3 linked regions of the Caenorhabditis elegans genome follow. The protein of the gene in region 3 interacts with the protein of the main gene of each other region in a biochemical or structural test. Each region holds a gene or a part of one and is shown on either strand. Other genes may lie near its edges.

Region 1 (5,315 bases), on a different chromosome or scaffold from region 3:
TTCTACAGACTTTGAAATAAGCAAATATAAAAAGTAAAAAAAAACACCAAGGAAAGAAAACTCACCTTCGATTTTTTTCGCGGGCGTGTCATAAAAACTCTGTTTTGTAACCGTAATCCAATTATTATTCGGAAATAAAAAAATTCTCGGCAGTTCAGAATAGGCAAACAAAGTAAAAAATTGATTTTTTAAAAAAAAGTTTTTAATGAAAAATAACTTTTAAAAGTTTCAATTCAGCCAAAGTTGGTACATGCCTATTTGTTGAAATAATAAAAATTGAAAAAAAAATCTTATTGTTAATAGAAAAAAAAAAATATTGCACCTGTTAAATGAAAAGAAGCGGAGAAATATGAAAGCGAGATGAATGTCTTAACTAGACAAGGAAAACGACAAAATATGCTGATATGTGGTGTGAGTATTCTTTGGAGCGGAAGGAAGAAAAGAAGAAGAAGACGAAGAGAGGAATAAAAATTAAAAGTTCAAATAATCATTTACTCGAAGATAGTTATTATTTCGTACATCTTGTATAATGAGAAAAAAGAAAAGTACAAAAAAATTCAGAAAATGAAACACCAAAAAAAAAGGCAAGATATGGGAGGAGCATATTTTAAGAAAATACTTATTATCAAAATTGTTTTTCTAACAATTGTGTGATGCATGTATTAGACTCCGCCCATATCTTGGTTATGTATCGTGTTTTTGCATGTTCGTACTTGACTTCTACATAGTTCCAAATACGAATAAACGCAGAAACCAACACATAAAAAAATCATTTTTTGTTGAAAATAACCGTGACTCAAGAAGTTTCAGGTAAGAAGAGTGTTAGGAGATCGATGATTGTCGATTCGGCAGCAGCTGATTTTTCAATATCCGCATTCGAAAAAAAGTGAGACGTCACTACTTGGACTATTTTTAATTGATTATTCAGTTAGCTAAGTACGTCGAAATTTCAGGTTCATTAATTGAAAAATCATAAGGTTCACAAACATTGGAATCAGAGTGCTCCGCCAGTCATACTTTTGGCTATTTTCGTCGATTACCCTAGTTTAATAGAATTTTCGAATTTTTGGCTATTTTTGGCTATATTTTGCTATAATAAAATGAACAACAAAATTTCACGAAAAAATGATTGAAAACGAGTGAAATCAACGAAACTGAATGAAAATTTTGGAAAAATAATACATTTACGTATTTTCCGCAAATACCTAACGAGACCCAAATTATCGGGGCGGAGTCTTTCTATTTGGCGTTGGAGCGCGATTGCATTCTGATTTCAAAAGATGCGTTATTCACAAGTGAAAAATGAAACTTTAATTTTCTTAATCAGACAAAAAATGTGAGATTTTTGAAGAAATCGGAGAAAACGGTTCAGCAATTAGCATGAGTTCTCAAATAAAAATGTGTTCTCAGAAATCTCGAAAGAAAATAAAAAAATTAGAAAATTCTAGTTGTATAACTAAATTATAGCCAAAGTACCACATCATCGAAACCTATAATTACACCGCCCGCGCTTAATCGGTAAAAGTTCCCTGTAATTTAAAAATTTAATTTAATTTTTTGTTGTCCAGAATGACATCTTGTGAAATATGCTTTGTTTGAGAAAAACAACTTTTTGAAAATGTCCCCGCACCACTTACTGAAAAAATTATAAGTTTTCGAGGACTTAAAAAGGGCACAAGAAGTGCTTGAAATTGTTGGAGCACGTGAATTTCAAAAACCTCATGTTTTGAAATTTCAAGTGTACTCAGTACTAAGCTTAGTTGTTATTTTTCCTTTTGGGACTATAAAGTCGCACGGTGTGATAAAATAATCCTAAAGAAAATCGAAATTTTCTTGTCGCTTTTAAATTTTATTTTTTTTTTTTTCTCAAAAATCTAAAAATGCAAATGAACCTCAACGAAAAGAAGCAGCTGCTCCGAGTGCGAGTCTACGCGACATCTGAAAAAGGAGAAAATCTCGGGAGGTACTAATTGAGTTGTTGTAGATATATTGAGAAAGATGGAGAACGAGAAAAGAAAATAAATTTATGTTGAATGAATGGGGTTAGACGATTGGGAATAATAGAGTTCGCGAAACAAAAACTACATGAAAAATTGGTTGACAAGTTATTTCACTTTTTAAAATTTCTAGTAAATGTGATGAGATCCTTTATTTGACAGACAGACGAGATGATTGAAAGAAGGACGGGAAAATCAGTAGTTGATCAGTGATTCCGAAGACTTGCTTCTTTTTCAATCTTTTGCTGCTTCTCAGCTCTAATTTTTGCCTCCATCATTCCCTGGATCCAGTAGTGTTCCTTCACCTGTAATAATTTAATGAATTATGATAATTAAGAACACTACAAAAGTGTACTTCTGTGTGCTGATAATATGTTGGCCACTAAGCTGAAATCAATAACAAACCTGTTCAAGCGTACAGCGAGCCTTGGGATCAACGACAAGCAATCTTCCAATCAAATCTCGTGCACCCTTCTTCACAGAATCAGGGTAAGTAAACCGTGCCGCTTTGATTGCCGCATATGTCTTGGACTGATCTTCGTGCTCGAATGGGGGTTTTCCAACGAGAAACTCATAGCAGAGAACGCCGATTGCCCATAAGTCAACTGCGTCACTGTGATCGGCTCCATTCACCATTTCAGGAGGGAGATAGTCCATTGTTCCGCACATTGTTTGGCGCCTGAAAACATGACAGTGAATTTTTGGAAACATCTAGATTTCCTAAATTTGAGGATAAACTCACTTATTCGAAGGAGCATGAACACTCCATCCAAAATCTCCAATTTTCAATTCTCCTTGTGATCCGATAAGCAAATTCTCCGGTTTAATGTCGCGATGAATCACATTTTTCCTGTGGCAATATGACAAAGCATCTGCGATCTCATACATATATTTTGCAGCTGTTGGCTCTGAGAATCTCTTGCTCACTGTCAATTGCTTGTACATTTCGCCTCCGGGGGCATATTCCAAAACGAGATAGATCTTCTTCGCATCCCAAAAATATGTGTAGAGCTTGATAATATTCGGGTGATTCAAATGAGATTGAATCTCAATTTCACGCTCCAATTGATGCTCGACGCCTCCTGAGATGAGTTGCGATTTGAATAGAACCTGAAAATATGTATGGGTAAAACGGATGTCAGAAAAATGATAATTCAAATAAATACAAAATAAATCAATATGTTACCTTGATCGCTACATGGAAATGTCCAGTTTTTGTGCGAGCCAGGTAAACACTGCCGAATTTTCCTTTTCCCAGTGGTCTTCCGATCTCGAAATCGTTAATAGTAAATTTTCTGTAAAATCAAGAATAATTTATAAACTTTTAAAACCTTGATTTCTTACCCTCCCTTCTGTGGAGTATTCACAGTTTCCTTCTCTGGAAGGTTGATTACAGGTGGCTTATTCTCCATGTCGGAACTGAAAAGTTTTTTATGAAGAAATAAAATAGACGGCACGATTAAGGACAAATTAACTAAAAGAAAACATCACGATAAATTTATAAATTGAATTAATTAGAAGTTCAATGGCCCAATTTTTAATTGAATACATTTAGATATTTATGTAGAATAAAAATAGGACTAATTCTGCTTTGATTTCAAAAAAAAGTGAGAAATCAACACATTACCTGAGTAAATATGTTTACAAAAAACGAGTTTTGATTGCAAATAATTCTAAAGAAACTAAAAATTGTCAGCTGGATAGTAAGGAGAAATGCAAGCCGTTTAAATAAAAAATTAACGCGGCAAAATGCAATGGTCCGCAATATGTCGTCATGTACGGTGTAAATGCGTACTTGGCCCTGTGCCAGGCCCGTTTATCCTGCTTTTTTGTTTGTTTTAAATTAAATTAAATTGTATTTATATATTTTTGTTCTTCTTAAATGTTTTCCTATCAAAACAATCCGTAGAAAATTAAGATTCAACTAGAAAATTTCAGTACTCATTGGACTATGTACGGAGTTCTTGTAATTGGAGCTCCTGGAGCTGGAAAATCTACATTTTGTGCAGGATTAACGGACATTTTCTCACAAACCAAACGACCATTTCTCACTATCAATCTTGATCCTGCTAATGACACAATGGCATACGCACCTGATGTAAATATCACTGTAAGTATTTTATTCCAATGAATATAGGACAATAATTATGAAACGTGGTACAGATCATCTATCAATGTTATTTTAATACTTAAGGTCATATTTTTCATTTAAAATACTAAAGTTTAGGAAATGATCACTGTGAATGATGTAATGGATCGACTTGGACTTGGACCAAATGGAGCTCTCAAATACTGTATTGAAACACTTGGAGCTAATTGTAATTGGCTCCTCCAGGTAATTTTTTTGGCAGAAAAAGTTAATTCTCAAAAGCTAAAAATTGTTTTCACAACAATTGAGCTAAAATCTGGAATTCTCTAAATTTGAATCGAGAAAATCGGAAATCATTTTTAACCTCTTTGTAGTTTTAATATTCAATTAAATCTTTTTTCAGAAAATCGAAGCGAATCACAAGAAATATCTGATAATTGATTGTCCCGGACAGTTGGAACTATACAAAAGCGAAGGCGAACTATGGAAAGTTATCCGCTTTTTGGAAAAATCCGGTGTTAGACTATGTGCCTTACATCTTGCCGATTCACTTTACTGCAGTGACCCATCGAAATTCATTTCTGTTGCATTATCCACATTAGGTAAGAGTTCATTAAGATTAAAAAAAAATTGAAATACTTTTCTTGTCTCTCGACCCGAAATTTCCAAATATAATTCAGCTGATTTCCTCCAAAAAATGAAAATTTATTTTTGTTCTGTACAATTTTGAAACTCCATGGGCCTTTATGTATTTCTGGCTAAGAAATGCAATATCTTTCTGGCACATAAAACTTTCATTTAATCTGAAACCTATTTTTGTTATTTATTTGATTTTAGATGGAAAAAATTGAAATTCGGAACCACTTTAAATTTTGTGTGGCTGAAAGGAACAAATTAAAATTATATTCATTAAAAAGCTTCAATTTCAGCGACAATGGTAACAATGGAGATGCCACAAGTAAACTGTCTGTCAAAAGCAGATCTTTTCTCTGAAGACGGGACCTATGATCTCGAGTTTTTCTCCCATTTACCTGATGTCAATCGACTTTTGGATCTTTTGAATGAAGTTCCCGGATTGGAAAAATATCGAAAATTGAATGAAGCAATTTGTGGAGTTATTAGCGATTTCGACCTCGTTTCATTTGTACCACTTGCCGTTGAAAATAAGGAATCAATGATGAAAGTTATTCAAATGGTTGATGCTGCAAATGGATTCTCATTAACTGAAC
Region 2 (5,893 bases), on a different chromosome or scaffold from region 3:
TCCAATTGTTCCAGGCATTATTGTTCCATTTTCTGAGAACCGAGTCAATATTTTCGAAACGCATCCATGACTGATTTTTAGTTGACGAGAGATGTCACACGGTCGTGTTCCTTGTCTCGAGAGCTCAACTATTTTACAACGCATCTCAAATGGAAGTGGTCTTCCATTTACGAAAACTCCACCAAGTTGATTAACTTCGGCAGTTTTGGCAGGAGAGTTGGCAGGGGCTGATAAAAAGTTGCGTTAAAAATAATACTGATAGTTTCTATTAGCTTGATTTCATTGCTAGAAAGAATTGTCTTAACTTTCATCTCATACTGTAAGGATTTCAGACAATTTCTTTAAAGATATAGTAACTAATTATTAAGAATCTATAAAGGTTTTCACTGCCAGTGGAATAAGTTACTAAAAAAATCCATGTAAAACCCATGTAATTCTTAAATGAAAAGCCGAATTACAGACAATTGTACTTACCGTAACCCGATGACGTAGATATCGACGAATATTGTTGAATTCCATTATCAGAGCTTGGAGTCGTTGAAGTAGACGATGGTGTTGTTGTCCAGAAGACATCAGATGTTGTTGATGGATGATAAGAAGACATCATCCACGGTTGAGCGGTGTCGCAGTTCATGCTCGAGCGAGTGTGACTGTACCAATGCGGTACGTGGTCCGTAAAGTAACTGGTCCGTGCAGAGCTTCTTTAATCTCAAAGCTCTCAAGGCTCCGCCTATTATAAGGCAAGGGGGGGGGGGCAAACAGTAGCTGCATAGGTATTTGTTGAGATTATTAGGGGGAAACGATGGGACTTTGCCAAATAGGAACCAGCCGGTGGGAATATGATTGTTGGTTACTGTAGGCAGTTGAACTTGACAATGTTTTACCCATGATTCCATTTAAGGATGAAGTTACACGGGTGTGTTTTAACATCTGAAGTCGTGGAAGCTCGTGGTTTAAATATCTGACGTCACAAATCTTTTCGAAGCCTATAGACTCCTGTGGTGTTAATTTCTGAAGAATAAACTGTTTTGACATAAACTTGTCAAATCCAGGTGTTGATACGGTATTTATTCTTAGGTTTTTTAGTACATCTCAGTCCACATGTGACGGCATTGCTTTTCCACCAACGACTGCGTGATTTTCTTCGATTTCGAAGGCATGGAACACACGGACACCTGAGAAATGTCACTGTTTTTTTCTAGCTGCTAAATTGTTTATGAAAACAGATAAATATAAAAATTCAAAAAATTGAGCAACGTAATATCGTCATATCCAATCAACCACTTGACAAACACCTCTAGTGCATATCTACGGGTCATCTTGTTTGTACTCACCTAAATTGACTACATATATCCAAATCTCCATCAAATAAATGGTTAGTAATCACCGGATATGTAACAACCAGATGGTAACGACCAGTTATTCGCGCAAATATTAAACATTTTTGTGCATTATTCTAGTATCTAATTGATCAGTTCATTTCAAGGATTACAGTTATTATTAAACATTAGAAAGAAATGTTTATATTGTATTTTCACGAAATGCTGAGATATCAGTTAAAAGGCACACGATGTTTTCCTGAGTGGGTCTCGGCACGAACTCAGTCATAGTGAGGTTCCAAAATTTACAGATTTTTTCATTTGATATGGAAAATGTACTATACGAATTTTGAAATTCTGAAATGTACAGAAAAAACTAGAATTTTTCATGTAGCACATAGCACCTAGCTAGGATAAAGTTTTTGCGAATGTACGATATTTAAGGCTCTCTGCCAGATACCACTTAACGTTGTTAAACCTCCGCTTTATGTTTCAAACTTTAGCTGTTCCAAAAAACGTTCCCACTCCTACCAATGTAGTGTTAACTCGTTATAATGTTTGCATACCATGCTACTTTTTTGGCGGAACAAAACAGTGCCAAAAAAGGCGGCAGCCTTCTACTTACCGCCACCACTGTTTGAGTTTTGGCTTTTAGCAGAAAGCATTGTATTTCTTCTGAGAACCAATGAACAAAGAGGTGCACCATCGTTTATGTGATAATCGAGACACTTGGATGCGAAATTTGGGAAAAAATTAATGGGGCAGACGGGAACACACGATACAGTACTTTCACGGGAATCTAATGATTTTACACACACACAAATAAAGAATAATTGATTTAGATAAATTTAAATCCTTCTCGTTGTCAGTGTGAGAAGAAACAAAAGGATGAAAACGGATAAATTGCTTAAATGGATTAGCGAAAATAAGAAGTTAGTAGCCGTATGATATACGGTTCTAAAGAAGGGAAAGTGCAGATGATAATTGTTTGGAAAGACAAGTAGAAAAGGTTGAGACTTTAATGGACAATAGACAGAGCTTTTATTGATTGGCTGTAGAATTATTGCGACTGGATTTCGTGAGCGTCGAAATGAAGAGTGGAACTTCAATGTCTTCGCGTTGCTTCATTTCCTTAATCCACGGATGAGCCATGATGTCAACAAGTGGGAGACGTTCTTGGGGTTCCTTTTTGATTATTGCATTTATCAAACTGGCAGCTCCGTCAGTCACAACACTTGGAATCTGCAAAAAAGAAGCAATTTAGATGAAACTACTTGGGAAACAAAATGGAAATGAATGTTTGAGAACTGTCCCGAGGAGAAAAGGAACCATATTGCATTAAAAGCAAACCGGCACACGCATCTCGAGCTAGACTTCTATTGCAGTTCTTTGAAGCTTCTCACAGATGAAACCGTGAGAGGCAGGAGATATATGACATGAAAAGATGAAATGGTTACCCAAACCATCACTTCATGCACATATTTCTGTTGGAGAACTGCTTATTAAGATTCTAACAAATTTAGTTCATAATTACTAACATAAATCTTGCACTCCTTGATTCTGGCGATCAATTTATCACCAGTTTGATTGGCGAACGGAGCATATCCAACAAGCATTTCGAAGAGAAGAATTCCAATTGCCCAAATGTCAACATTAAAGTCATGTGGCTGATTGGAAACCATTTCCGGAGCAAGATAATCCATGGTACCGCACAATGTATGGCGTTTCGAGTGATCAGCAACGACGGACCATCCGAAATCGGCAAGCTGAAATACAAGTCTTATTTTTTAGAAAGAATGCATAAAATGTGTTGAATTTAATTTTTACGGTAATTGTCCCGAGGAGAAAAGGAACCAGATCGCATTAAAAGCAGAACGGCACACGCATCTCGAGCTAAGCTTTTATTGCAATGTTACTGTGTGATCAGAGTATAAACTCTTTTTCAGCTAGTGACTTCTTTCGGCTCGGAGAACCAAAGGATGCACTGAGAACATTGCAGAAGACTTTTTGAGTACTTAGTTAACCATATTTATACGCGTACCTTCAGATTGAGCTTCGAATCAAGAAGAAGATTTTCAGGCTTAATGTCTCTGTGAATAACTCCTTTCGAATGGCAGTAATGCAACGCATTGGCCAGCTGTCGCACAAATCTGAGGAAATTTACTATATTTCTGAAATATCTACAAAATCACACCTTCCGGCAATGACCTCATTCACTTTGTGTCCAGGTTGTGATTGGAGGACATTAAATAATTCTCCTCTGCTGGCATAGTCGAGAATGACGAACACACGCTTGTCATCGTGAAAGTATCCATAAAGAGTGAGAATATTCGGATGACTGAAATAATATTGATTAATTGATTTGGATGAGATGACTTCGAGAAAACATACCGCAAATGATATTGAATTTCGATCTCTCTCTTCAACTGATGACTGACTCCAAGTTGAAGCAACTGTGTTTTGAAGAGTACTTTCAAAGCTATGATTCGCTTGGTCTTTTTTTCACGAGAGATGAAAACGTTTCCAAACTTTCCTTTTCCGAGAGGCCGTCCAACGTCAAAATCATCAAGACTCCAGCTAAAGTCCATTACATTGTAAAAGTAATAAATCAATTATTCTCACCATGATTCTTCCCTTGCCTGGTCAACTCTCTGAGGTCTGCTATCTTCCGTAAGTGAAATAACCTGAAGATTAGAATTGATGCCTTTCTAATTTTAATAACAATTACCTCGGCCTTCTGATCGTCTATCACAGGAGCAGTATTTTCCTTTCCGCTCATGATTAATGTAATTCTGCGAGTTGAAATATTATAATAAAATTGAGGAATAAAAAATTTAATGAGAAAGGAAAAAGAAAATCGCGACTAATTCAAGAACACGTCAAAAATTAGAACAAAGGCAGTCACTTTGAATGAATTTTGCTTGGCGGGTTGTTGAGCGGCATTGCTAAACAACACGCGCTCTGTTATTTCGGAGTGTCGTTGCTGACACGTTGCGAATAAATCAATTCTGCATTTTCTATTCCACTGAGTTCTGCGATTTTTTTCGCAGAATTCGGTGAATTTGAATCAATAAAATGTCAGTAATCGATAAAACTTCATCAGCAGTCAATCCTTTACGAGAAAAAGTGACTACTGCATGTGCAAAGAAGCTGTATAATGACAAGGTCAGCTAAAATATTAATTACAAACGAAACTTATGGCATTTCTTACAGGATTGCATCAAAATTGCTGATTTCATCACTCCACTGGTCGAAGATATGAACCTTGATTCAAATGTTGATAGGAAACTACACAATAAACTAGAACGATACGAGTTGAGACTAAACAAGGAATATTTGAGCGAGTTCGAAAAAGTTAGAATAAACCTGAAATCATTTCATTTTAAATCTGCTATTTCAGATAAATAACATTGTGCAAAAATTCGATGAGCTCTGTGTAAAAATGAACTCCACATGCACGAATTTATCAAAGCAAATGGAGACTGTAAAGTTCAAAAGTGTTGATTTGGTGCAGAAAACAGCAAGCTTGAAGGAGAAGAAAGCGAGTATAGAAAGCCGTTGTAATATGATAAATGAATTTCTCGAAAACTATTCTTTATCAAGTGAAGAGCTTCGAGAATTAGACGAATGTGAACAAAGTGGTCATCTATCGGAATTTTTCTTCAAAGTTCTTGAGAGGTGCCACGAAATTCGCGAGAACTGCAGAAATATGGTTCAGGAGCAAGGACATCTTGCCGCTTTTGAAGTGATGGAAAAAATGCAAAAAATTGACGAAAGAAGCCATGCAATTATCTGTAACAATCTGAAACGCGAATTTCAAAATCTGACAGTTGATTCTCATCAGAAAAAGCAAATTCTTTCTAAAGCTTTCAAAATCATAAGTCAGAATGATGCTGTATTCCAGCTTGCCATTGGTACGTTTAGTTCTTCAAATCTACTCACCATTAACCTAGTTTTCAGACCAATACATTTCATCTCGCTCACAAGAATTGCTCAATCAGTTTGTTGAAATTAACAAAATGGCTGTCCAAATGCCTGAAGGGTTGGCAGAACCACTGAAGGCAGTTGGAGATATGCTGACTTCGATTCACGAGCTCACGGAGCAAGAAAAACAGTTGTTCAGCTCAATTTGTTCCGCAGAAAATCTTCCGATCGTTCTTGATGAATGCCTGAAATCTTTGACTTCGCCGTTCAAGGTAAAAAGTTTAAATTATTGGACTATAATATATGATAATAGTTTACAGATTAGGGTAGAGCAACTGCTGTCGACAGAAAAAAATGCCATCACAATTTTCAAAATGGGAAATATTTTAATTTTCTATGCAAACAAGTTCGAGACTTTGATTCGAAAAGATAGTTATTTTACAATAATGCTCGCAGATCTCGTCAAAACAGTTCGTCAAGTATGTATTGCCGGTATAAATCATCACGTGGACGGACTTATGAGAAAGATGACATCACCACACTATGATCTCCTTCCAGTCCCAGAAGTTCGGCAATGCCTTTCACTTTATCACGGGCTTATTTCAATTGCTGTAAAAACAGGAGATTTGAATCTTCTTCTTGAACCAGAA
Region 3 (10,494 bases):
CGCCTACTTTGCGTGGATGTTGGGCCCGTACGCCGAGCTCATTAACCATGCGCTCGTCGGTCCATCTGTCGATCCGTCGAAATTCGACGCGGTTGTCACGCCCGACAAGTTACATAACGAATTGTGATTGAAGTTCTTCTAACCCCCAAACCAACCGCCTCTCAAACAACTTGTGATGATTTCTCTTTATTTTCTCTCTCTTTCTTGTTCTAATCATTTTGGGCCTTTTTCCCTTTTTCTCTCTGCAGTGTGTTAACTGATCCATAATCCTTCGTGTAAACCCCCCTCTCCCTACTTTTAGGATTTCTTCCTCGTTGCTCATTGTATTTTGTCCAAATCGCCACAATTTCCCTACAAATATATATGTTTTTTTTGCTAATTTTTTGTGTTTCCCTTCCTTCTTGTCCACTGAAAGTTCTACGTCTCTCGCTCTCCACATCCCCATTGTTCTCCCCTTTTTTCATAATAATTTATTATTATCCTTTTTTTAAATTAATTTTTGTTGCGTGTGAATCTATTAGGAGCTCACAAATAAAAGTGATCCTTTAAAAAACCTTACTTCCTTCTGTTTTTTCTCTAACCTAACCAATGTGTCTGTTCAGGGAGTGCCTCTTTTCTTTACCGAATGGTGTGCAATTTTGTCGACTGTCGATCTCGTCCATGGCAATGCAGGATTTGAAACTAAATTTCCCTGGAAAAAGAAATAATTTTGGTGATTTTCAGTTGAAGCTCCAATCAAGGATAAACGCGACTAAAAATGACAGTGCTCCCTCAATCAGAGTGAGCCCAGCCGCCGCCCATCTCATTTTTCAGACTCTTTCATATTTTCTAAGTTTTCCAATTTTTTTTCTTTTGTAGTGCGATCGTTTTCGTTTCGAGACCCGAAATCGAAAGGATCTCTTTTAGAGATCTTTAGGATCTTTTTTCTTTGCTCAACTCATCATTCTTTGTTTTTTCTTCTATATCCTCTTGTTGACGGTGATCAGACAAATTTGTTAGAAATATTATTACATTTCCTTTAGGTTTCTTCTATTAAAAAAAAAGAAAACTTCTGCTAAATTCGTGTACGTTGTCTCTCCCATTTCTCATTAAAAATCGATATTAATTGTAATTTTTGGTTTGTCCTCCAGTGTCGTGTGCGCCATCGATGGAAATAAAAAAGTTTCAAAACTATTATAGCTTTTCTTTTTATGAAAAATATAAAATACAATTAGAATGTTTTTGTTAAATGCGATACGGTGTGCGCCTTTAAAGAGTAGAGTACTGTAGTTCCAAAATTTTGTTGGTGCGGGATTTTCATTGATTTTTCATCGTTTTTCGACAAAAATATATTTATTTATTGAAAAAAGTTAAATAAAACTATTAAAAACACAGAATTTTTAACAAATTGTGAAAAACACATGAAAAATCGATGACAATTCTACAGTAACGAACATTTTGAATTACAGTAATCTTTAAAGGCGCGCACACGTTTGCATTTAATTAAAATGTGTCGTGTCGAGACCGACTACCACGTCTCGTTATTATAGAACGAGCAATTACAGCCTAACATCAACTCAGAACAAACCAGGATCCCACGCAAGTTTAAAGGAGCATGCTGGGTATCACAACGATTTTTTGAAGAGAACGAGGCCCCACGAAACGGGGAGCAGAACGAAAAGGGGATCTGCAAAAAGGGGATCTGCAAAAAGGGGATCTGCGAAAAGGGGAGATATGAAAAGGGGAGATACGAAAAGGGGAGCTGGCACTGTGCCAAACGCACAAAACGCAATTTTTCTCACGCAACGCACGTTGATTTTTGAAATTTTCTTCTAGAAGATACGCTTAACAACACGCGACGCGTAACATCGGAGCATCGTTGTATTGTTTTCTTCGAGAAAAATAGCGTTTGGCACAGTGCCAGATCTCCTTTTCGTATCTCCCCTTTTTCGTATCTCCCCTTTTCGTATCTCCCCTTTTCGCAGATCTCCTTTTTGCAGATCCCCTTTTCGTTCTGCTCCCCTTTTCGTGGGGCCTCAAGAGAACGACTTAATTGTGCATGAATTCCGGAACAGCCACCTTCAAATTGAACACTGATTAAACGAATAAAATGGTTCATTTAAAACGGAACCGAGAAAAAATGGGGACCCGTAAAATATTCACAACGAGAGGGGAAAAAGATGGAAGGGGAGGGTCAAATAATTTTCACATACCCTAAATGAAATAAATACGGTAAAATATTGGAGGAATGCGATAAAAATAAATAGAAAATGGTGAATAATGAGGGGGGCGGGGAGTAATAATCATGGTACATGAAGTGGGTAGCATATCGTCGCGGGAATCAGCAATCAGACGTTTTCCACGGCGACACGGGTGTTCGAGACTATCTGCGCAAGTTGATCAAGCTTGGCGAGGCATTCGGCTTTCTGGGCAGCACTCGGCTCGTTGGAGAGGACAATCGTCGTTTCGCGTATGATCTTTTCAGACATATCTTTCAGGTTCCGGACGTGATCGACCGCTACTCGACGATGTTCTTGCTTCTCGACCATCTCATCGTACTCTTCATCCGATTTGTCTGCCGATGGGGGCAGGAACAATTCCTCGTCTCGAATTGGGGTTGCTTCGCCGCTTCCGTCGGTTCCCATTTCTTTGACACTGAAAAATGTGAATTTTTTTTAGCAAAAAATAAATAAAATTCCTACCGATCCGCGTAGCGAAGTGTGTTGAGCGTGTGATCACTCGACGAGATCCCTGGCGAAATCATCGAGATCATCACTGTCCTGGACTTCTCACCGATGAAGCTGTCTCGGAGAACCATCGTGAGCTTCGACTGTCTGAACGGGACATGTGAGCTGTTGCGAGCCATTCCACGGATGCACTCCTTCAGTGCGAGCAGCGATGTGTTGATGTTGGCGCCCTCTTTCCGCGTGTCACGATCGCATTCTCTCGTGTCTTGTCCTCGCTCGTTTCCAGCCAAGTCGATCAACGAGAACTTGCCCCACACCTTTTTGCCTCTGAAAATAATTAATTTTAAAGCAATCTTCACGTAAAAACAAAAACTAACTGTCTAAGAATGATCTGGAATATGGCGTGAGAACGCGACGAGTTCGCGTTTGCCGAAGTGGTTCCAGCGGTTCTGACCAGAGTTCCTTTGTTGATGAGCTCCAAGACATCCTGCTCATTGTGCGCTTGCTCCTCTTTGAGCCCAACAACCTGCACCTTCTGCATCTTATCCTCAAGCACACGAAGCTCGGCCTTATCGTTGAGCAAGTCGTACGTCTTCGTTCCGTAAATCTCGAAGAACGCACAGTGCACCGAGAGATCCTTGCGACGGTACTGTGGCTGCTCGAGCATCCGGAACACATCTCGTGCCGTCAACGCGTAGATTCCCATCGACGCATTCTGCTTCTTTCCGGAGAAATCTCCACCCATTGTGTGCGTCTTTCCGGATCCTGTTTGACCGTAGGCAAAGCACGTCGCAGTTCCATTGTCGAAGACGGTTTTCACGAGTGGTGCTGCAGTGAAGCTGAAAATATCATTTTTAAAAACGAAAACTGAAAAATTAAAAAAACCAACCGATAGACCAGCTCGTTGTTGGCGTACTCGTCGAAAGAGTAATCGAATCGGAACTTCTGATTGTCCAGATACTTTGTCAAGTCGACACGTGTTTGTGGTTGATGGAGAATTGTGATGTCACGAGAAGGGATCGTGATCACATCGACCTCCGCTTTCGTCAGCTCCTTCTTGTTCAGTGGGCGCTTCCGAACGCAAACGGAAATCCGATTCTCGTTGACACCGTCGAACATGCTCAACGGACGATAGTCGATCTGGGCTCTGTAGTTGCGAATCATCTCCGCGAAAGCAAAGTTCCCATTCGACGGCTGAACATCCTGTTGTGGATACGACCGCGGTACGTTCTTCGGCGACGGAACTCTTGCCACTGGAGACGGGGCTCGCTGTGATGTCATGTTGGCGATTGGTGGAGCAGGAACAGGGGCCGGAGCTGGAGCTACCACAACTGTGCGCCTTGCAGTGTGCTTCGGAACCGTGATCGCCGTACTATCAAGATCTGGCTTGAAGGCTGCTGTCGTACGAGTAGACTTCGGTGCAGGAGCAGCATCCTCCTTCGGTGACGGAGCACGACGAGTCGGGAGAGGCTTTTCGGATGGAGGAGCCATACGAACAGGAACGTGCTGCGTGAAAGCTCCCGTTGGTCGTTTGTTGGCAGAAGCACCTGAAAATCAATTTTTGTTTCATATTAAACCAGAACTCTCCAACAAACCTTTAGCCGGAATCATGTTGATATGATCCAAGAGGAATGTATCCTCGTCATCGAGTATCATGCTCTGCGCATGGATCCCGTTTTGTCTGTTGACAGCAGTTGACGCTTGAAGCGTTTTTTGAGGAGGCTGTGGCGGCGGCGTAGGCTTCGGTGCTTGGAGTGATGGGTTCAGCGTGAGAAGTTCTTCCAACGAGGATTCCTTTCCTTTTGTCTCGCCCTGAAAATGTGAAAGATTGCAAGAGAAAAAAGAGAAGAAAGAAAGTACACAATGCCAAATGCATGATTTTTGGTTCGGCATCACATCCGAAATGCATGATTCTGTGACGAGTGATGGTCTTCTCGAAGGATGCGACTCACCTTCTCATACCATTCCACCATAAACCGGCCGTTCGACTTAACTTCGGCGATTACGGCACCGTGGATGCGGCCGTCGCTCCGCTTGATTTCCACATGCATCCCGACGACAAGCATTTTACCTGAAAATAATAACAAATTAATTGGATTCGAGTTAATTAGAGCGTAAGAATAAAGGAAACAATTGTTCATATCCCATGAAAGAAAATGATAAACTATCGGAAAACATTAGTCAGTGGCGGGGGAGATGTTATGAAATGGCGAGTACTGCCGCTGCTGCTGCTGGGAAATTGGCGCGAAAATTGCGTTCGAAGGGGGAGTAGAGGGAGGAAAACGGATGAAATAGGCGAGGGGAGTGAAGAAACGCAGACAGGCGACCGCTCGATGGACACAGCATGGACGGGTGGGTCTGGACACACAAAGGAGTGCTTCTTCCAACGGATTACGGAGCGAAACGGTCAGAAACGTGGGCTCCAGAAATGTAAAACAGACGGTTTTGGAGGAGAAAACTAGTGTATTTTGATGATATCGATCAAAATCGATGTAACAGGATAATTTTGTAAAAAAAATGGTAGAAATGTTCGCGAAAATGGATCTTTTCTGAAGCGAAAAACAGAGAAAATTTCTTGAAAAGGTCTAAAAACTAAAAAATGCGGAAACGACTACGATACAAATTTCGCTACGAGACACGAGCTCAGCAGGCACGTATGTTCCTTTAAATGAATAATCGTTTCTTGGAGAAAATTCATGTTTTTTCATTAAAAAACATGAATATTGACTTGAATTCCATGTAAAAATCAGAAAACGACTACGATACAATTATTCTTTTTCTAGATTTTTTCGAGTTTCAAAGCAAAATGTTCAGATTATAATAATTATTTGCCATTAATCAAAAAGAAATTGTGACAAAATAAGAAAAATTAACTTAAAACAAAAAAAACTGGCCAAAAACCGGCTGAGTCAACCCGAAAACCACCTAAAATGATAGCGAAGGAAAAACAAAATGAGAGAAACTTCGCGAAACAAAAATATGAATTCGTGCGCGCCCGCCTGAGATCGTAGGTCAATTGTAGGTCAAAACATATCAGAGGCAATTAGACAAGTCTAGAAAAATTCAATTTTTGATTTCTCGCCTTTGCAAAGCTTTGTCAAAGCTTTGCATAATTTTCTATAATTTTAGACACTATTTATTAAATTTTTCCTTCAAATTCAACGATTTAAGCCGAGTTTTCGATTTGAAACCTACTTTTCCCTAATAAAAATTATCGAATTTCTCGAGAACAAATGTTCAAACGACTGAAACTAAAGAAGACTCGCCGGAATGCGGCAATAAAATGAGGGACACGAAGAATTGGAAGTGGGGGCTCGGTTCCCGAAGAGCTCGTGTTTCGCAATCGGGAATAGTTGGGGGGGGGGGGGGGGGGACCGAGAGAGCCGGAAGACGTGGAGGAGGGAAAGAAAATGCAGTGCTTCTAAATAGGACACATACACATGAAAAGCTCACAAAGAAAGACAGACAGAGAGACATTGCTCTATGGTTATGAGCTCTTTCTTGCTTTTTTTGGGTGTGGTGCAAAAAGACGGAGCAAAAAAGGATTATGATGGGTAACCTTTGCACATAAACACTTGGGAAACGTACGATACCAGGTCTCGACACGAAAAATTTTGGTTGAATGCAAAATTGTGTATGCGCCTTTAAATAGTAACTCTAACTGCAAAGCGGAATTTTCAGTTTTCATTTACTTTTCAAGAACATTTTTTGACGAAAAACTATTACTAAAACTATTACTACAACACAGAATTATGATAATGCGTCTCACACAACATATTTGACGCGCAAAATATCTTGTAACGAAAGCTACAGTAACTTTATAAATGACTACTGTAGTCGATTTACGGGCTCGGATGGATTAAAATTTTACTTTACTATCGCTAAAATATTAAAATAAAAATAAAAATGAGAAAATTATGCGAAGAAACGAATGAAAATGGAAAAAAAAGAATTAGAATTACTGTAGTTTTCGCTAACTTAAGAGATATTTTGTGCGTCAAATATGTTGCACAAGACGCTATTTTTTTTAAACAAAATAAAACACATTTAAAAATTGCGGAAACGGGAGACAATCCATGAATAATCGATGAAAATCGTGGTGGAAGTTAGGAAGTTACAGTACTCTTCAAAGGCGCACGCCTTTTTGCATATTACAAAAATTGTCGCGTCGGGATCGTATTTTCGAGTTCAAAAAAACGAAAAAGTTTGACATCTGAGTAATAACTGAAACTGGCTGAAAGTTCATGAAATGCGACAAAAAGAAATATAAGCCTCTCAGCTTATTTCCGAAAAAGTCGAGATGACTCACTTACCGGTCACATTATACCAAGGAAATGATATTTCCTCCCCTGAATCACTGTCCGGTGGACCGATTCCATGCTTTTCGACTTCTGATTTGGCCTTCGGAGCCCGTCGCCACGGCTTCTCGGCTCGTTTTCTCTGCACTTCAGGATTTTCCTTACAACTTCTGCAACTTTTCATCGGGATCGAATTGGAAATAATATTTTTTTCATTATTTTTTGTCCGAACGGAAAATAAACAATGCCACGTGACAATGCGAAATTTATGATGCCACGGGTTTTTTCTTTTTTCTTTTTATTTTTTATCCATTTTGGCTTAAAAAATCCACAACAAAAAACAAGAAAAATTCAATTAAAAAACACGGAGAAATGCGACCAATCAACGATGGAGTGGGAAATAAAAAAGAATGACTCCATATGATTTTCCAGGACTTTTGAATTTTTGAAAAAATCAGCTTTTATATATTTTTATCAATTAAAAAAAATACTTTTTTTTTGGGTTTTTCTTTTTTCTTTTTATTTTTTATCCATTTTGGCTTAAAAAATCCACAAAAAAACAAGAAAAATTCAATTAAAAAACACGGAGAAATGCGACCAATCAACGATGGAGTGTACGGAGTTCGAAGTCGCTGATTGGTCGCAGTTCTCATTTGAGAATTCCCTCCAGATAAAATGAGAACTGCAAGACCAATCAGCGATTCACTCCGCCTACTTTCCACCCAATCAGCATTCTTTAACTCCGCCCATTCCGTCTGATTGGTTGAGATTTGGGCGTAACGAATCGCTGATTGGTAGTTCTTTTTTGGAAGGATTTTATCGATTTTATCGTTTTTTTAATGATTCTTTTTGAATTTCAGACGTTTTTTTTTGAATTTTTTGAAGCAAAAACTATTCCACATTGAAAGGCAAAAGAAAAAAATACAATTCGCGCGCCGAGACCTTACTTTTAATTTTATTTTCCAGCAAAGAAAGAAATCAAAATATCTATATGTAACGCCCTTTTTCAGAGTTACAAAGTCTGTAATAAACATACCATAAAAATGAAAAATCAGCATCATTTTTTTGTCACATTGCATTTTTAACCTTTTCCACTGGCCGGCGGCGGCGTCCCATTAAAGAAAGTGATCCCTTATCACTTTTCTTGCTGATTATGAGACCAAAGTTTCCCCCCATGTTCTGGAATTTTTTTTTTAGGTTTCCGGCAATTTTTTCGTTTGAAATTCTACCATTTACAATTTAAATCTGTTTAATCCGATTGACTTATGTTTGCCGGTGGCGGTTTGTGTGTGTGTAATTCCCATCAAAAAATAAAAAACTTCGCTCCACACATTTTTACAGTGATGATTTTCGAATTTTTAAAAGAGTACTTGCAGAATTTGAAATAAATTTGTCTCTTTCGATCTGAATATATTACATTAGAACACAAAATTCTAATAATGCGTATTGCACAACATATTTGACGCGCAAAATATCTCGTAGCGAAAACTACAGTAATTCTTTAGATGACTACTGTAGCTCGATTTACGGGCTTGATTTTTAAAATGAATTTCTTCGTTTCGTCGTATAACTTTTTTCTTTTTTTTTGCTTAACTTTAATATTCTATAGATGAACAAATGATTTATGCAATTAATTTCAAAAATTGACCCCGTAAATCGACACTACAGTAGTCATTTAAAGAATTACTGTAGTTTTCGCTACGAGATATAGTTATAATTTATTTTGCTCGTCAAATATGTTGCCCAATACGCATTCTCAGAATATTATGCTCCCGTAATAAGGTTGCACCACCCCTAAACGCTGGGTCTCGTTAGGAATTGGACGGCAAAATTTTAGCCCGTTTTCAAAGAATTTTTCGTACTTTTTGAAAATTTTACCCATTGTTTTCAACTATTTTTTTCCTAAAAAAACATTTTAAAATATGTATTAAAATATGTATTCAGTTGGATTATTAGAAATTTCGATATGAAAATTAGTAGAAACAACAAAATACTACAAAATATATTAAAAACAGTGAGGTTTTTGCGATTTTTTGAAAGACCTGCAAACTTGCAAAAAGAGCATCCCCCTTAAAAATCCAAACTAATAAATAAGCACCCTAACGCCTAGTTTTTAGTTTATTTGGAGAGCCTATTCAACGCTTATCACCACACATTTTATTGCCCATCTTCATATGTTTTTTCTTTCCTGGCCGGTTGTCCCTTTAATCATTATTTTTTATGTTTTCCTCCAGTCTTTTTGTCTCTATAACTTGCAAAAACTTATGGGGTTATTAAAGTAATGTAGCAAAATGTATTTAAATACAGTTGTGACGTAATTTTTCTACACTTTTTAATTTTCCGACACTACTTGAATAACCCCATTAGATGTTTATGGGCGGCGGAAGAAAAGGAGAACAAGTGACAAAAACTAAACTTTGTACACTTCTCCCAAAAAAAGTTAAAACAATTTTTTCTCTTGTTTTTTGGTTATAGTAAAATATTGTGCAGTGCAATAATGTTCTATTTTTGCCACGTGGCCTAGAAAACGCAAAAACTCGGCCAGCAATTCATCCTAGTTAGAGTGTGATAAGCTGGAAATTTGAATATTTTTTCCCAGATTTTTTAGAGAATTTCTCAATAGGCCGCACTTTGTAAATAAAAATTTTAATTTTTTTTCTGAATAAAATATCGGTGGCCAAGCTTCACTGATTTTTTTAAAATTTACTTTAGCCCGTTAGTTCCCAAATTACTAAATATATTAACATTTTTGGTGGCCTAGTTTTCTCTTCTCGCCACGAAACATAAATTTGTGGACTTCTCAATAGAGCGCATTTTCTTTGACAGGGGTTTCAAATTTTTTGAGAATAAATGGTATACGTGGCCGTGGAAAAAAATGGCCGAGTTTTCTATCTTATTAATTTTGTTGAAAGTTGGCCTAGATCTTCGTGAAACTCGAAATTTTGTTGTCCGTGTTTAGCAAAAAAATTGTTTAGCAAAATATTTATGTGCCCGTCCTAGAAAACTACAGTAACCCTCCGAAAATTGGCTCGAATTTTGTCCGGCTCCTTGTTTTTGTGCGCTCCCATTCTCTTTCTCTTCCTGATCATTTTCCGTTGTTTTTGCTCTCATTGAACACATCTTTTTCAGTTGGGGGCACCCATTTCTTCCAATCAGTCAATTATTGATAACAGCTCCCCCTCCTTATCTCTCATTTTTCTTTTTCTATATATATTTGTTTCCAAAAAAAATTCACGAGTTCGTTATTCTTGATTTCTTATTTCTTTATATCTTTTCCAAAATTCAAGTTTTTCAGCTTTATTTAACAAGCCCATGGCCTAGAAAATCCCAATTTGTCTTCATTTTGTAGGCCACCTCAATTTTGTGTACTCCACCTTTACAATCCGGGATTCTAATTTTTTCCAGAATTTATTTGAATTATTTAGAATTTTGTTTAATTTTTTAAAAATTATTTACTGAATCTTGTTGAAAATTTGTTTTTCCGATAAAAAACCTGTGTAGTCAACGTGTAGAGCCGGGATTTTTAATTT

What was found. The genes of interacting proteins can lie anywhere in the genome.
Region 1: of the proteins of klp-7 (region 3) and air-2, one has a biochemical effect on the other in vitro, tested with the Caenorhabditis elegans proteins (one study listed by BioGRID).
Region 2: of the proteins of klp-7 (region 3) and air-1, one has a biochemical effect on the other in vitro, tested with the Caenorhabditis elegans proteins (one study listed by BioGRID).

The regions. Positions count from the first base shown.
Region 1 is NC_003279.8:5,935,578-5,940,892, reverse strand, and holds air-2 (Aurora/IPL1-related protein kinase 2), read right to left. Parts: upstream 3,417-5,315; 5' UTR 3,410-3,416; coding exon 3,342-3,409; intron 3,293-3,341; coding exon 3,184-3,292; intron 3,108-3,183; coding exon 2,740-3,107; intron 2,677-2,739; coding exon 2,403-2,676; intron 2,303-2,402; coding exon 2,204-2,302; 3' UTR 2,017-2,203; downstream 1-2,016. Other genes in the region: B0207.6 (GPN-loop GTPase 2), read left to right, coding at 3,949-4,107, 4,225-4,332, 4,490-4,688, 5,016-5,315. UniProt on the Caenorhabditis elegans protein: Serine/threonine-protein kinase component of the chromosomal passenger complex (CPC), a complex that acts as a key regulator of chromosome segregation and cytokinesis.
Region 2 is NC_003283.11:8,219,706-8,225,598, reverse strand, and holds air-1 (Aurora kinase), read right to left. Parts: upstream 4,112-5,893; 5' UTR 4,099-4,111; coding exon 4,048-4,098; intron 4,004-4,047; coding exon 3,942-4,003; intron 3,897-3,941; coding exon 3,711-3,896; intron 3,658-3,710; coding exon 3,514-3,657; intron 3,470-3,513; coding exon 3,361-3,469; intron 3,319-3,360; exon of another isoform or gene 3,150-3,318; intron 3,086-3,149; coding exon 2,858-3,085; intron 2,821-2,857; exon of another isoform or gene 2,626-2,820; intron 2,562-2,625; coding exon 2,361-2,561; 3' UTR 2,017-2,360; downstream 1-2,016. Other genes in the region: pax-1 (Paired box protein 1 homolog), read right to left, coding at 1-227, 475-634; cogc-6 (Conserved oligomeric Golgi complex subunit 6), read left to right, coding at 4,395-4,484, 4,533-4,673, 4,720-5,233, 5,280-5,515, 5,564-5,893.
Region 3 is NC_003281.10:10,802,584-10,813,077, reverse strand, and holds klp-7 (Kinesin-like protein), read right to left. Parts: upstream 7,154-10,494; 5' UTR 7,149-7,153; coding exon 6,980-7,148; intron 5,597-6,979; exon of another isoform or gene 5,576-5,596; intron 5,041-5,575; exon of another isoform or gene 4,896-5,040; intron 4,738-4,895; coding exon 4,619-4,737; intron 4,479-4,618; coding exon 4,262-4,478; intron 4,214-4,261; coding exon 3,556-4,213; intron 3,506-3,555; coding exon 3,044-3,505; intron 2,994-3,043; coding exon 2,682-2,993; intron 2,635-2,681; coding exon 2,328-2,634; 3' UTR 2,079-2,327; downstream 1-2,078. Other genes in the region: sca-1 (Calcium-transporting ATPase), read left to right, coding at 1-127.